2 linked regions of the Drosophila melanogaster genome follow. The protein of the gene in region 2 interacts with the protein of the main gene of each other region in a pairwise test. Each region holds a gene or a part of one and is shown on either strand. Other genes may lie near its edges.

Region 1 (6,582 bases), on a different chromosome or scaffold from region 2:
CCATTAAGCGACATGTGGAAAACGATTGCGTTTTCAATTTCATTTCATTTATGCTGCAAAGATGGCGATGAGGGAAACGTGGGTGGGTGGCGGTACCACCCAATCCCGGCCGCCACTTCCCACTTCCCACTCCCCGTCTCCCCCTTTGTAATAAAATCAACCTAACAAAGCGAATTGAGTGAAAAGCAAATATGAGACAAATAAAACGCAAACAGGCTTGACATTTCTCCAGCTTTCTCGCATGCCGTCCTGCTTTCCAGCATTTTTTACCCACTGCCGCCGTATAAATTTCGCGCTTGGCTCGTTTGGGGTTTTCCCTTTTTTGCTGCCAGCCAGCCTCTCCTTTTTCCCAGTGACGTCAACTTTATTTTATGACACAACTGTCAACTGACAACGACAATGATAGCAGCAATTCGGTTATTGTTGCTAGCAGCCAGCAACCGCAGAATGAAACAAATGTTAAAAAAGGCAAAAAAGGGGAAAAAAAAACATTGGGCATGGGACATTGCGCTCTATAATGAGACGGCTATTTGCCGTTGAGTGCAGCTAAAATGTTGACTAATACTTATTAAAAGGGCTAACATTAGTGGCACCTTCAATTGCATGAAGCGTTGAACATTGATTCAAATGTACATATTTTAAACTCGATTAAAAAAACAAATTATATCGAAAAATTGGGGCAAGAAATTATTTAAAAAAACAGCTTAGTAAATACTGATTCGAAATCATTAAGTTCTGTATTAAAGGAAAAAACTTTAAAGTCTTTTAAAAGAACTAATATATATATATATATATATATATACCTTGCTGTATGGCTGTATGGTTCACTGGGCGTATGCGTAATATATATAACAGGTCGAATAAGCGAACCTTATGGCGAATTTAATGTGTATCCGAAATGTTTTCGCTTGCAGACGGCCACCTTGGAAGTGGTCATCCCACCGGACATTATAAACGAAGAGACCTCCGGGGACATGATGGTCCCAGAGGGCGGATCCGCCAAGCTCGTTTGCCGAGCACGTGGTCATCCGAAGCCGAAGATCACGTGGCGACGCGAAGATGGCAGGGAGATTATTGCCCGCAACGGCTCACACCAGAAAACAAAAGGTAAGTGCAATGCATCCTACTCACGGACTTGCAAAACTGAATTATTGCATTTAAAAATAAAAAATTTGTATGCTTCCTGCCTGATTAACAATACAAATATTTAAAGCCAACTGCAGACGAACCGAACTACACATTTACACAATAATTTAAACATATGGAGCCCATTTTAAAGCAACCACCACATATTGTTATGTACTCACCCCTATACCACAATACTCATTTCCTCACCCACAGCACAATCGGTGGAGGGCGAAATGCTGACGCTGTCGAAGATCACGCGATCGGAAATGGGCGCCTACATGTGCATTGCCTCCAACGGAGTGCCACCGACGGTGAGCAAGCGGATGAAGCTACAGGTGCACTGTGAGTACCACTACAGTATATAACTATCCATATATGATACATGATAAATGGGTAGCGCCACCTGCAGCCGTTGGCCAAGAAAATGGACTGATTTATGGCAGTCGAAGGCAGCTAATGCCGCATAATAATCATAATGGTAACATATAGCCCCGTTCGGATGTGCTGTGCTGTGCTTGTTCCAGAAGGGGGCTGTTCCGTATCGGAGTCGTATGTATGTGGCAGAACTATAACCGGAAGCGGAAGAGGAACAGGAACAGGAACAGAACCGCAGCAATAACGCAGCGGCGGCAACTGCAAGTGTTTCCGTTTCGATATCCGGCAGCTTCCTTCACGTGGCCGACAAACTTTCCAAATGCATTAGGGCGCCAAACTTGTGGATGTTGGGTCAAAGGGCATTTTTCCCTACGAATATGGGGAAAGGGGAACGGGAAATATGGAAAACGGGTGGGGGGGTGGCGGGTGTGAAGTGTTTCTTGGGGTAACGCAACGTCACGTTTCTGCAGTAAAACTTTAAAGTTGTGTGAGTTGGCGAGTTTGTGTGTCATGTGAAGTGGTAATTGTTAAGGTTCTGCAGTTCTGCACTATCCCTCTGTCTGCCCACATAAAAAAACCCCCTTTAAGACCTCTTAAAAAACCCCCCCTGTAACTGTTTTACCTTCCCGCATCAAAGTTAATGAAATTTCCAAAAGGGGCAAAAGTTCAAACGACGACAATTGGGCAAGCGCAAAAGCAAGAGGAATTGGGAGAACGCAGAAAAAAAGGCGGAAAAAGGGGAAAAGTACGGGAAAATGAAGGAAAGCCGTAGGGGAAAGCAGAAGAGGGACAGCGAAGAATACCTAGAACCACCAGCTTCTCTGAAAACCCAAAAGATTGTATCCGAAAATTATATTGACACGGTCGTGAATATGTGGCGTCAGTTTCTTCAGCCACACACACACATATGTACTTACTTTTGACGCAAAAATTAATTTTCATTTATATTTTTTTTTTTTTTATCTAAGCCGCAAATTTCTTTTTCTTTTTCTTTGTCATTTCATTTTCATTTTACTCCAAACGAAGTCACCCACCTTCCGGTCCTCGAAATTTCAATTTAAAAATCCCCATATGTGCGGAAAGCGGGAAACGCCATTCTATATTCGCGATTCTTAAACGCCACCCACTCCCGCCGCCCAACTAGGTGTCCTTGTCTCAGCCGCACATTTCACTCGACGCCCTGATTGATTCTAATCAGAAAATTAAGTGGCTCCTCGAGGTCGTTTGCCATGTATTAGCACTAATGTTAAAGATTTCTCTTCCTCGACATCCGCAACTCTCGAATTGGGAAAGTCAGAAAAGCTGTTCAGAGCTTTACTTTTCAGGAACTTAATCCACATTCACTCTAAGATGTTCGATCTTCTATACATATTTTTTTATTAATATAAGAAATATATGTTTATTACTTGGCAGTTGATATAGATAGATTTTAGACATAAATAAATGGCGCAAATGAAGGCTAAGCATGTGTATTTACAAATCAATTGACTTATTTCTGCGAATAAGTGTTACCAATTGAAAGGCCTTAAAAACTAATGAATTTACATAGTTCCTAACTTTTAATAAAGCATGAGAAAATTCAACTTTCGATGCTGGAGTATAAAACAATGCTATAGTCGAGTAAACCGACTAACAGATACCCGTTGCATACGCTTCTACGACTCTAGTATACCCCTTTACTCAGCAAGTAACAGGTATAAATATGTAAATGAAAAAATGAACAAAAAATATAATTTTTCCGACTGAGTCATAGATTTTAAGAGAACTTTTAAACGAGTGCTATTAGAATAAGTAACCCAGTTGTTGACAACAAATAAACAAAGTAAATAAACAAAAATTTGCAGTAGGGTTATAAACCTTCAAATAGACATTCATTTTCTTCTAAGCAAATTTACAATTCGTCTTAGTATTTGGCTAACGTTATGATTGTTTTTTGTTTCATTGTGAGGATACTGCGTAAATTTCTGTAAACTTCCCTCTCTGACACAGCACTTTTTTTTAAACTCAAACGGTTGTATTAAAATAGAAGAATAGAACAATGGAACTAATTCAAACATCGACCAGCTGTTGCCACACGACGAATGAAACAAGAGAAACACACGGATTATTAGATGCGAAGAATTCGAGCTCAGCTCTTCAGGGAGTTCTTCGCTCTATTTTCCATTCTTCGGAGTATCCAGCTAAGCACACAGCCAATGCTGCCGTCACGGGGGATTCTTAGCAAAAAGGCTGATGGATGAATTCGACACCGAATTTTTGGGTATAAAAGGGGCTACACGTACATAACTCAAATCAGTTGCTATTGGAGCAAAAGTCCCACAATGCGTGCCTACATTGCAATTACCCTGCTGGCCCTGGTGGCAGTTGTCGTGGCCCAAGGGGGAGGCGGAAGACGTGGTGGACGCGGTGGCGGCGGAGGCGGTGGCCGAAGTCTTGGAGGATTCGGAGGACGTGGAGGCGGTGGCTTCGGCGGTCGCGGTGGTCCTGGTGGTACTGGTGGCCCCGGTGGCTTCGGCGGACCTGGTCGCTTTGGAGGGCCTGGAGGACTTGGCGGTGGTGGAGGATTCGGAGGTCCCGGCCGCTTTGGCGGTCCCGGAAGCTTCAATGGTGGATTCGGCGGTCCTGGCGGTTGGGGCCCACGTCCACGTCCTCGTCGCCCAAGACCTTGGTGGACGACAACGGAGAGTTCCTTGGCCGACACCAGCAGCACAACTAGCAGCTCCTCCAGCTCCACCGACAGCAGCTCCTCTGCCAGCTCCACTGATAGCTCCACCGATAGCTCCACCGATAGCTCCACCGATAGCTCTACCGATAGCTCCACCGATAGCTCCACTGATAGCAGCTCCACGGAGAGCACTACTGGTTCGGGATAGATTCTGAGTCTCAATTGCAGCGTATTGAAAACTTTCTGGGAAATGTATGAAAATAAAATCTAATTGGCACATTGAAACTTAATTTCATTAACTTGGAATATATTAGTCATATACAGTCATATTAGTCTTACAGACTAGCCGAATCTATTCAGCAATGTCCGTTCGTATTAAGACCTTTGATTCGCACCAAAAAATATCTCGATTAGCATATGAGATTGAAAGCTGTCTCTTAAGAGAATTATCGTTTCTGTTATTTCTTCGATATCGACAGGCAAATCAATCATCTGATTAATGAAATATCATCATTTGTTATCATAAAGTAAACAGCATGAAGGCTAGTTATTTTGATAATTTAATTTTGGCAGCTGCCTGCCGAATAGCTCTATTAGGGCAAATTGAATTTTCAATAAGTGGTAGGCTAAGCGAGAATTGGACATAATAGGAAACACCCGACACCGCTGAGAACACCACATGACATATGCTGCACCATTTCGAGTCCAAAGGGGTGGTGCAACGAACGGGGGCACGGGCACAAACGTGCGGGGAACCTAGTAGGAGTAGGGACCGAAAATCCGGACGCCATATAGAAGAGGGCTGAGAGTGCGGAATGTCCAAATCCAATAAATTGACCAATAATGAACGCTCGAATGCAGCTCGAGGCGAGAGCGCTGTGCAGTGGGTGAACGTGGGAGCAAAGTTGAAAAGCCAAAAAACAATGATGGTCAGTGGCTCTGGCCTGCGGTACTTTGGTCCTTCGCTTTTCCGTCTGCGCTCCCTGGGGCGGCTTCAAGACAACGTCAAAGGCAAGGGCGAGGGGCCAGAAGCTCGAAAAAAAAGACACGAAAAGAACGCAAAAAATCAACTTGCAAAAAATTCCGAAAAGAACAAAAAAAAAAAAAAAAACAAACTCAACACGACACGGACAACATGGAAAAGCTCCAAAGGGCAAGCCCAATGAATTAATGGCACGTCCTTGGCGAACTAAAAATGCTCTATTCGAAGCAAAGCAAGTGTAAAACAATTAATTCGTCGCTTTAAAGGCCTTGAAACCCTTTTCTTACAAAATTACACCCTGCTGTTTCCCAAACACAAGTGCTATATATTCTCTCAATATCTAACTTTAAGCTTTAGATCCCGAAAACTTATGATTTTGAATAGATAGATTGAGCTCTTCTATTGCGTAATAGTTTCTCAATATCTAACTTTAAGCTTTAGATCCCGAAAACTTATGATTTTGAATAGATAGATTGAGCTCTTCTATTGCGTAATAGTTTCTGAATAAAAATCTTACAAATCGCTGAAGCAAATACAAGAGTTTAAACGAAAGATGCTTTAGTGGAGGAATCATTAAACCGTTCTGGGGTCATCACTCCTTCGACAAGAAAAGCCAATTCCCAGCCCAGCCGGATAAGTGACTGTATTCCTAGTAGGGAGTGGAAAATAGGAAAATCCGAAAAGAAACTAGCAATATGGCTTGCTCGTTTTATTTGCCACTGACTGACCACTGGGCGAAAACGATGGATGATGCTGCTGCTGCGCTGCTGCTGCTGCAGGCTCGTGGTCCTGCTGCTGGTCCTGATTGCTGGCCAGGATTGCTGACTTCCACTCTAACAACAAAATAATTCATTTTCAATTAAAATCGTATCAGTTGTTGTTGGCGTTGCTGCCATTAACCGACAGCGAAAAAAAAAAATAAAAATCACAGCTGGAATCGGGAATCCGGAGTCAGACAAAGGGTTTGAAGTTTGACTTTGCTCCCTGGTGGCGGCCAGCTTAATTGCCGCTCTAGTCCGCGGGGGCAACGTTGTGGGTTACGAGTTGAGGGTTTAGGGCGGAGGACAAGCAGAGATTCAGCGGGTTTACGGGGAGGCGGGTGGGCCAGGTCACAAGGCCACTGATGGCTTATTAATTGGCACTGCCACCGGGCGCGGGTTCATTCACCATCCACACTGACTCCCAACCCATTTGCTCCGTCTTCTCCTCCGCAGTTCATCCGCTGGTGCAAGTGCCAAATCAATTGGTCGGCGCCCCGGTCCTTACGGATGTCACATTAATTTGCAATGTCGAGGCATCGCCGAAGGCCATCAATTATTGGCAGCGCGAGAATGGTAAGTTGCACAGCAACATCTTAAATGTCATTTCCCTGATTTCCATTTCTAGCACAAATTAACTCAGTGATACGCAACATTTTTATTTTCAAAAATAA
Region 2 (9,709 bases):
GCCACCTTATATGCAACTCATCGATTATACAAATCGCGATGACTGGGCACACTAACAATCGCTTTTCCGTAGTCAGAGTGACCACCTATTGATTTGTGTACTGATTTATCGATAAGTAGCAATTTTATACATATTAGGCGCTTAAGAACAAATTTAAATTTAAAACTTTTTAAAAATACTGTACATATGTGCAAAAAAGAAAGGCCAAGAAATAGATAAGGTGTTGGTTATGCGCTCCCCACCATATAGCCGCAACTATCGACAGATACAAAACACCGATAGTGCCATCGATAGTTCTGGCTGCTCTAGTCGCGAAAACACAGACGCAAGATAAAAGAAAAACAGACGAAGAGGGAATACGGGAAATACGCGGGAAGAGCAGCCAGAACGCCAAAATTTTCACGCGCAACGATTAACGAGAATAAACAGCGTAAGTAGCGGAAAAGTGCAGGTGAATTGCAACGGTAATTGCAGAGTGCAATGCGCCGGAAAATTTTGCATAAACTTTTTGTGAAATTTCAACTGTGTTTGTGTGAGTGTGCAGCAGCAGCAGCGAGTTAGCGTGCGTGTGTGTCTGTGTGTGTGAATGCGAGTGCGCTGGTGTTGAAAAAATCTATCTCTTCGCTACGCATTTTCACCCCCCGTTTTTGCGTATTTGATCTTTCTTCCTCTTCTTCTCTATCAGCACAGCCGCCTATGCGTGCGTGCGTGTATGAGTCTGTGTGTGTGAGTGCGTTCTCTGCTTTCGTTTTTTAATTCTTTGTTTATATTTACGTATAGTTTGTTTGGGGGGCCCCGTTTTATTGTTGTTACCCGATGGCGGATGCTCTTTCCCGTTTTGATTTATCGCCGCGCCGTAAAAATAGCGCCCAATTCTGATTCCGTTTTCAATTCCGAGATTCCCAAAAGCTCTCGCGCCGTCTGCTCCACCACACACACCCGTCGTCAATCAAAGTGCCGAAATTTTATGACCAACACTACCAGGCTGTATCTTTCGGATTTGCTTAATTGCAGGAAATTGTCAGGGGAATATGTGTATCAGCACTTTTATTCCAAGCAGATAACTTTGCAGAATTAGTTTTGCCAAGATAAAATCGGTTAAATCTTGATTTAGGACCATACGAATAGCTACATTAAATAGTTTTCTCCAATTCAATACTCTCTGTACTGTACTCACTGTACTAAAATGATAAAAACCTAATGATTACTCATTAGTTATTATGACATCCTAACATATCAATAGTTATTTCAATGAAATTTCTACAAAATCGTTATCAATTAATTGAAGTACTATATGATAATAAGATGCTTAATCGTAACTATTTTTCAGTACAGATTATTGTATATTGTTGCATATTGCACCTGTACCACAGTGATGTCTTAATTGCCCCGTCCATAAATTTGACGTAAATGGCCTGATTTAGAACCGCGGGCACTTGCTGGCATAAATATCTGAGCCGCAATATTTGTTTTCCATAGATTCATTCGGCTTTCCACTGGCTTTTCCGCTCGTTTGCTCTCCGAGTCTTGGTAGATTTTCCCTCGAAACAGATTTCCACCAGTTGAATTTTGGCGCCCGCGCTGATCGGTTGTGCAGTCGGGAAAATCTCACGTTTGATCTTGTGGAAAATGTGCCGTGCAAAGGCGTGGGTCTATTTTTAGACAACTTGCTGATTTCCACACTCGCCGCCGTGCTCTAAATCAGATTGAGAATCGATAACTGTCCAATTAATTGCACATCGTCGGGCTCAAAGGCCATTCGACCAGAAGGGAGATATCCGGAATCTGTGGAATCGGTTATATAATCCATGTGCGACTAAAATGGCCAGCAAATTTCAGAGGAAACCATCTCCCGGCGGAACTGTAGGCATGGGAGGGGGGCCATCGAGTGTTTCCTCTACGCCGAGCAACCAGCCGAGGAAAAGGGTGAAACGCTGCTGCCGCAACTTCGTCACCTTTATGTGCACCCAGGTGGGCGTGGGCGCTCTGATCGTGATCTATGCCATCTGTGGAGCATTCGCCTTCATGCACATCGAGCGCCAGTTTGTGGACGAGACGGCTGGCCATGTGATGGAGCTGCGTCAGAACTGCTCCCAGCAGCTGTGGAGCATCACGGAGCAGCACAACATAATCGATCGTCGACGCTGGACGGAGGCCACGAACGATGTACTGAGGGAGTACCAGTCGCAAATAGCCGGAGTTGTCAAACACGGCTATGTGGGCAGAAGTCCAGAGCAGATCTGGAGCTTTCCGGCTGCCCTAATGTTCTGCCTGTCGGTGATAACCATGATTGGCTACGGCAACATGGTGCCACGAACTCCGTGGGGCAAGGGATTCACCGTGATCTATGCCACCTTTGGCATACCGCTCTACATCCTGTACTTCCTCAACATGGGCAGAGTGCTGGCCAGATCGTTTAAGTTCCTCTACCGATCACTGCACGACTGCACCCAGGAGCACCCGCGCCTGGATCGAATGGACGCCCTTGAGGGTGGTGTTGGCATGACACGCAAAAAGGTCATTGTGCCGTCGACCGCTTGCCTGTGGGTCATTTTCTTTTACGTTCTCACCGGCACCGTGATGTTTGCCAATTGGGAGAAGTGGAGCTTACTGAACAGCTTTTACTTCTGCATGACCTCGCTGTGCAAGATTGGATTTGGCGACTTTGTGCCCGGTGCCTCGCTGACTACCAGTGCGGATGTGAATGCAGCGACGCAAAAGTTGCAGGAGGACATTTCAGCCGATCCTGCCGAGCTGGCCCAGCTACAGTCCGTGGCCGCCGATCAGCACTCCAAATTGGCCATCAATTTTGTCTACATGCTGCTGGGCATGGGTCTGGTGGCCATGTGTCGCAACCTGATGCGCGAAGAGGTGCGCCTAAAGGCACGCGAGATGCGCGAGGACGCCAAACTTTGCATGGAGGACACCAGGCTGCGATTCGTTGGCTGTTGCGGGAATCCTAGGGACGCGTACGAGGATGATTACTACTAGGATAAGAAGAGGTTGTTAGGAGGGGTTTCAAACAAGGACGTCCCTTATTTAGATTTATATTTCATCACTAATCCGAAATGGTTCTATTCTGATGGAACTAAAGAAAAAGCAAGTGTATTATAAGAAGATCGTATTTAGCTTTAGGGTTATAGTTCTGTAACAGAAGTGGTCTATATCATCAGTTATTCTATTCAGAACTTTCGAAAGTATATTGATTTGTGAAAGTTTTCAAAAAAGAGCGTTTGTGTGTGAAGCTGTGAAAATGATGCTGTGATTGGTTAATGCCCACCAAGTAAAGTAATCCCCCATGAACCGATTCGATCCCGCAGCTCACCATTGATCAATTCCTGCAACTGCAAGAGCGGATCCGTAACTTCGAGGGCATGCTTGGCGGCGGCAGCGGGGAGCGTCTGTGCACGCCAAGCACTTCGGCCGGCCCATTCCGCATCTTTTCCGTGGCCGGATTCCAGAACCGGGCCAATGACATCGTCTACTGCCCGCCGATCGTGCGCCAGCACTCGGTGCACGTGCCGGAGGACTCCACGGCCATAATCTATTTTGGTGGGGACGTGCAGGACTTCCCGGAGAGCATGGAGACGAACCGTGACAGTCGGGGCTACATGAAGTACAACCTCGAAAACTCGGCCATCCTTCTGCGCGAGGCCTTTCCCCGGTCACACATCATCGTCATCCGGCCCGTGCGGTTAGTTTTTGCATATTTTAATAATAATTTATAAATAATATAAACGCATTTTCATTTGCAGCATGGAGTTCAAGACATTCAGTTGCTTTGACAATTTTGTTCGGGGCAACAACGCTGGAGTTCCGGATCACACGCCCATGAACCATGCCCTCCAGCATCTAGAAAAGTAAGTTCATAGTGTACAATTCAAGAATGCTCTTATTAATAACAATTGTTTATCCCCACAGACTGCTTCAGAATCTATCGCAGCGCCTGATCTCCATACCAGAGAACGAAATTCTGGATCAGGCCGCCCAGGCAGCGGCTGCTGCGGCGGCAGTGGCTGCTGCTGCTGCGGCCGCAGCTTTAACGCTATCCAACGCCACGGTCACCTCGGAGTCCAACTCACAATCGGCACCGGCCAACGACAGCAGCCAGGAGATGGACATTGATATATTGCAGGTGCAGGAGAATATCACAGTGGACGCGGATGGGGCAGTAATATTTCCGATAGTTGGCAACGAAGTGCCAGAGGCAGTGAACAATGTATCCGGGAATAATGGCAACATCGGTGGTGGCGGTAACGATGATAGTGTAAACAACCACCAAGAGCAAGTGAACAACCAGCAGCTCCAGCAGCAGCAGCAAACGGCGGCAGCCATCAAGATGACTTCTCCCACAACGGCGATAAATGCCACCAACAATGTGGAGCACTACAACAACGATTGTGGTACGAGGCAGGCTTCCGCTGCCTCTGCAACAACAGCCTCGGCAACGGGCACCTCCACATCAACGGCAAGCAGCGATAGCAATCCGCTGTGGTGGCGGGAGAACCTCAATCTGGACAAATCCAAGCTGGTGCTGATTGGCTTTAGCAAGGGCTGCGTCGTGCTCAATCAAGTGAGTCGCGTTTGGTTCGTTACCTAGTTGATCCACTCGCCAATACGCCAGCTTCAATCCTATGCAGAAGTGTCGATGGAGCGTGTAGAGTATAAATCTAAACGCTGAATCGGTATCTGAGGATTGTGGCCCATACCCAACTGACCATACTTATCTGCACTTTCTTTTTTGTTTATAGTTCATCTACGAGTTCCACTATCTTAAGACGCTCACGCCCGACGACAGCAGCATGTGCCGCCTTCTCTCCCGGATTTCAGACATGTACTGGCTGGATGGCGGCCATGGGGGCCAAAAGAACACTTGGATCACGTCCCGTAGCTTGCTGGAAACACTAACGCGGATGGGTAAGTGGAGAGAGAGTAAATGCCAAGTTGAGTCAACTAACGAGTGGGAGTCTTTAAGCAGGCATGAACATCCATGTCCACCTGACGCCCTACCAGGTGCAGGATGATCGCCGACCCTGGATTAGAAAGGAGGAGAAGTTGTTTACGGAGATGCTACGTAGGCTGAATGCGCCGATCACCCGGCACTTGCACTACGACAACCAGCCAGCGAATCTGATGACCCACTTCGAGGTGCTGCAGGCATTTTGCCAGCACGTCCACGCGCTCAACCAGCAGCAACAGCAAATGCAGCAGCAGCAGGGTGTCGGCATCAGTGAGCAGTCTTCGGCGGCGGTGGCCGCCACCAACAATGGGAGCAACAATCTATTGGAAGCCGGCGAGGAGGCAAAGTGACAGCTGCAACTGCATCCGCATCACCACAGGCGTCGCTTGCATGCGATGCGCAAGGGTACCGCCGCCCTCAAGCGTCAGCAGGTGGCGCAGCTGCGCCAGCACCACCAGCAGCTGCTGGCTGCCGCCCCGGAGCTCGCGCTGGCCTCCTCATCGCGCCTGGCTGCGGCCCTGATCTCGTCGGCGGTGGCTCTGAGCGCCTCGTCCGCGAGCCTTGTAAATAGTCATCACCACAGCCATATGCAACAACAGCAGACGCAGCAGCCGCCACAGGCGCGCCATCATCACCATCCGGCAACATCACACAGGCATCACCACCACCAACACCACTCACATCACCACTCGCACCACCATCATCATCATCATCAGTGTCGCTCGAAACGCAAACTGCAGAAATTGTATTATACGCTTTGCCGTTAGATCTGTAGCCTAACTATATCTATGTGTACTTGTACGAGAGAAAGTTTCTTAGAACCACCAGCAGCATCAGCACTTAGCTTAAGTGGAGTCACACCTACCACGTCCTATATATATTATATGTATGTCCAGTCCCTTCGTCCCTTCATTTTTTGTACATGTATTTATTTATTCCCCTTTTTGTTCGTATTTTGTATCTTTGATCATCGCATTTTTGTAATTCGTCCCAAACTGAAAGCAAAATCTCATCAGTGCAATAATATACATAATCCGAATATATATATATCTATATATTTATATATATGCGTATTTATATATATGCTGATTTTACAGACCTCTCTTATTTTATACAAACACTCCATGCTATTTATTTGTAATTGATGAAAAGATTTGTGATTTGCGCACATGATATAAAGTAAACATCGTAGAGCAAGCACTGTAATCGTAGCGTGTCTCAAGCAATTTATGTTTTAAGTACCCCAATGAATTTATACATCATCCGCACAGACGCATTAATCTAACCAGCCTAAAATCTAAATCACACACACCCACAAAGCCCTCTGATTAAGTATTACTTAGCGTACGTAAGCTAACTTTAAGTTGCAACTGGCAAAAAGCAAGCCACAACAACAAATGTACTTTACTTAGGTTGATCCCCAGTTTCCATCGCAAACTGGGGGCAAAGTATCAAATTTGTGAGACGAGAGCGTCGATAGCAATATAGCAATCAGCTCGTCCAGGCATAGACGACGTAGTTTTCTCTGATTGTGCTGGGCAAGTCAAAGAAGAAGTACTCAATGCAAATGCAAGTGAATAAAGTGAATTTTGCCAATTCAGATCCGAGAAGTAATTGTAAATGCGATGGCGCGCGTTCCTTAAACTAATTATGTATATCGATGTGGAGATCATTACCGCTTCCGCTTATCATCCAAAACAAGACAAGAAAGCCAGCCAAGAAAGCAAACCAAGAGAAAATCCAGTGAGACGTACTGTGCATATAAGGGAAAAATTAATTACACACAAAATTTCGTACCTTGTAGAATTTGCAGTTCAAAATTGCTTTAGAGTTTGTCGATGTACATTTTACGGATTAAACTGCACAAAACATTTTTAGGCAAGAAGAACCATATTAACTAAAATTACAGACGGTCGTAGATGTAAATTGAACATTATAAATGAAAACGCTGCGAATTCGAAACCAAAAATCGCGCAGAGAAAGTCGAGCAAAAAAAAGAAAACAAAACAAAAAAGGAATTCCCAATGTAAATTCTACTGATTTTTGTGAGTCTGGTAATAAAATGAATAAGCATATATGGATAAAATGGCAGCTTCTTTTTTTCACATGTCCACAAAGATCTAATCTTGCAGCTGCTCCTCTGGCACCAAATTAAACATAGTTTTAAACAAATTGTACACATTAAATCCATCAGATTCTTTGAATGTGAAAACTGGAACAGGCCACATTGTGTTTCTTGGAATTCGTTTCTTTTATTCAATCTACTTATTTTAAAATAAATTACAATTCTATTGTACTCGTACAAAAAATATCGCTTGTGATGCGCCGCCCGACATCTTCATCCTTGAGATTGGTGTCCTAGGTGCACAGGTGGAGGAGATGGAAGAGGAATGGGAGTGGGAACGGGGTCCCGTCGGCCTGCGACTACGCACAGTCGTTGGGACACTTGGTCGCCGTGCTCCACTCATCGCTGCCGTCGCAGCAGTCGCACACGTGGTCATTAATGCGGCTGCTGGCCACGTAGATATCCAGGCCCCGGCCCGTGATGTGACGCTTCTGGTAGCGACAGTAGAATCGCCCCTTGGCGCAGGCATTCGTGCTGGGCTCGTCGCTGCCGTCCTCCTCACAGTCGCAGTAGTTGTCGTTCAGGTGGTCGAACGGGATCTCTTTGGAGCCGTCCAGACACCGGAACTTGCCCTCGAAGTTGGGCTTGTAGGCGTCGTAGTCGAAGAGCCGTGTGCCCCTAAAGGATAAAGACGAGGATGAGGAATTTTCCCAAGCCAGCAACAATGCATCTACTACACACCTGACAATCTTGATGGGATCCTCGTGACCCGCAACAGGTGAGGTTTCCCCGCCTGCCGGAGCAACTGCATCGGCGCCTCCGCCATCGAAATCGTCCACGTCGCGCTGTTTGCTGCCCAGGGACTGCATCATCTGCTGGTGCTTGCGCTTGATCTGCTGCAGATTCCACGGAGCAGGCACTCCGGGCAGCTGGTTCAGCGAGAAGGCCTATCGTTATTGTTTACACATTAAACACCGTGCACAGGAAAATCCTTGCGAGACTCTCACCTGATACGCGATGAACGAAATTCCGACCAGGAAGATCAGCAGCAGGAACATCTTCGACTTCTGCTTGTAGAAGGGCTTGAAGTATATATTCTCTCGCTTCACCCACGTCTTACGCATATTGTCCTTGTTTTTTCGCTCTGGCCAAGTAATGTATAAAAAATATGTTTTGTTTACGAACTAGCATTGTTTTTGTACATGCCTGCGTTAGTCAACACTGCTGGGCTGGGGCTAAGGGTTGCCACCCATCCCGGAATTTAATCAAATACAGAGCGATTTATTTAAATTTGTTTGATAAAGTGTAATATTTTTTTGTAAAACTTTTAACAGCTTAAAAGTATAATGAATTTGATTGAAATAAAAGCGCCAAACACCTTTTTGCTTTTCCTCAGAATCTTAAAGCATTTCACAACTCCAAAGACCCATTAACAATATCATTTTTCACAGAACAATTGTTTATTGAATCAGTGTATAAATAAGTTGTAAACTTTAGATCTATCGTCTTCGCTGATAGGTAAATGTACTTTCGCCCGTCGATCACATAAGCATTTCATTACCGGTCAATTTATTTGTTTTGGCAAGGGCATGATGTAAATGCATTGGACATTTGAGCATATGTACGTCTAGTAGTATCTGAGATTGGTTTATGAGGTGGCGAGGGGAAAATAAATAAGTTCAGATGGCAGAAGGAATGGTTTTGGCAGTCTCTCTCAGCGATTAGGTGGCATTCAGGAAGCCCTCGTTCTTGTAGACCTCGATCACGTTCTCGATGATCTCCCACTGGTTCTCTCGGGTGAAGTCCTTGACCAAGGGCTTGTACCACATGGCGGATTCGTCGGACTCGTCGGTTAGCGGCACCTGGATGCCGTAGGTCTGGAGGGCCAGCGACAGGCACCCAATGGCCACATGGGTGGGCTTGTACTTGAGGATATTGGCGCTGTGGTGAAAGTCTTGCAGATACGAGGCGGCTGCCTTGGCAATGGGCACCGAGTTCCACACCTCAGTGCCCACCCAGTCTTGTAGGGTCTTCATGTAGTGGAGTAAGTACTTGTGGGCCAGATCTATGTTGAGATCGAAGCACAGGGTGCGCGTGATGAGCAGCTCAGCCTGGACAATGGCATCCCGCATCGACCAGTACTCATCGTTCAGGTCGACTGGATCATTGCCCCGGTTAAGGGTGCAGTATGCCACGTTGATGACATCGCGTATCTTGACACTTTCGTCTTCCTTAATTTTGCCAGCCAAGTACAGCGAGCCCGCGGCAATGAGCTGTGGATTCCAGAAAGTTTCTCATGAGATGGGGTCGTTTTGGGGGCATATATTACTCACGAACTCATCGTAGTCGCTGGCCTTGACCTCGCGGAAGAAGCGATGGAACACTATGGCCGCACAGGCCGCCGTCAGCGGTTTCATTTTCAACTTGGCAGCGCACTCAAAGATGTACATCGGCACCACGCCGGGTTTGTTCATTTTGCTGCGGCACAGATGGCACAGATATGTATATATTGGTGGTATCTTTAGATTGGATCATTCAACTTACCGATAGTCGATGGGCTTCATGGTCTGCGCCTTGTTCAACTCCACGTGCTGCTGCATCGACATGACATCCAAAACGTTTTTCATGCTGCTACTCCCAGGCCGAACTGAATGAAAGGATGAATGTGGGTGGATTTAAGCAAT

What was found. Proteins that work in one complex are often made in the same cells at the same time.
Region 1: the proteins of CG31122 (region 2) and CG10918 interact in a two-hybrid assay, tested with the Drosophila melanogaster proteins (one large-scale study listed by BioGRID).

What each region holds. Positions count from the first base shown.
Region 1 is NC_004354.4:21,426,486-21,433,067, reverse strand, and holds CG10918 (uncharacterized protein), read left to right. Parts: upstream 1-3,811; 5' UTR 3,812-3,824; coding exon 3,825-4,376; 3' UTR 4,377-4,454; downstream 4,455-6,582. Other genes in the region: DIP-beta (Dpr-interacting protein beta), read left to right, coding at 915-1,107, 1,342-1,470, 6,365-6,484.
Region 2 is NT_033777.3:18,403,483-18,413,191, reverse strand, and holds CG31122 (uncharacterized protein), read left to right. Parts: upstream 1-3,331; 5' UTR 3,332-3,374; coding exon 3,375-3,694; intron 3,695-3,755; coding exon 3,756-3,860; intron 3,861-3,921; coding exon 3,922-4,573; intron 4,574-4,751; coding exon 4,752-4,917; intron 4,918-4,975; coding exon 4,976-5,310; coding exon of another isoform or gene 5,311-5,727; 3' UTR 5,728-7,128; downstream 7,129-9,709. Other genes in the region: CG10864 (uncharacterized protein), read left to right, coding at 1,822-2,991; CG7685 (uncharacterized protein), read right to left, coding at 7,385-7,703, 7,767-7,972, 8,033-8,149; koko (kokopelli), read right to left, coding at 8,747-9,298, 9,359-9,503, 9,570-9,652.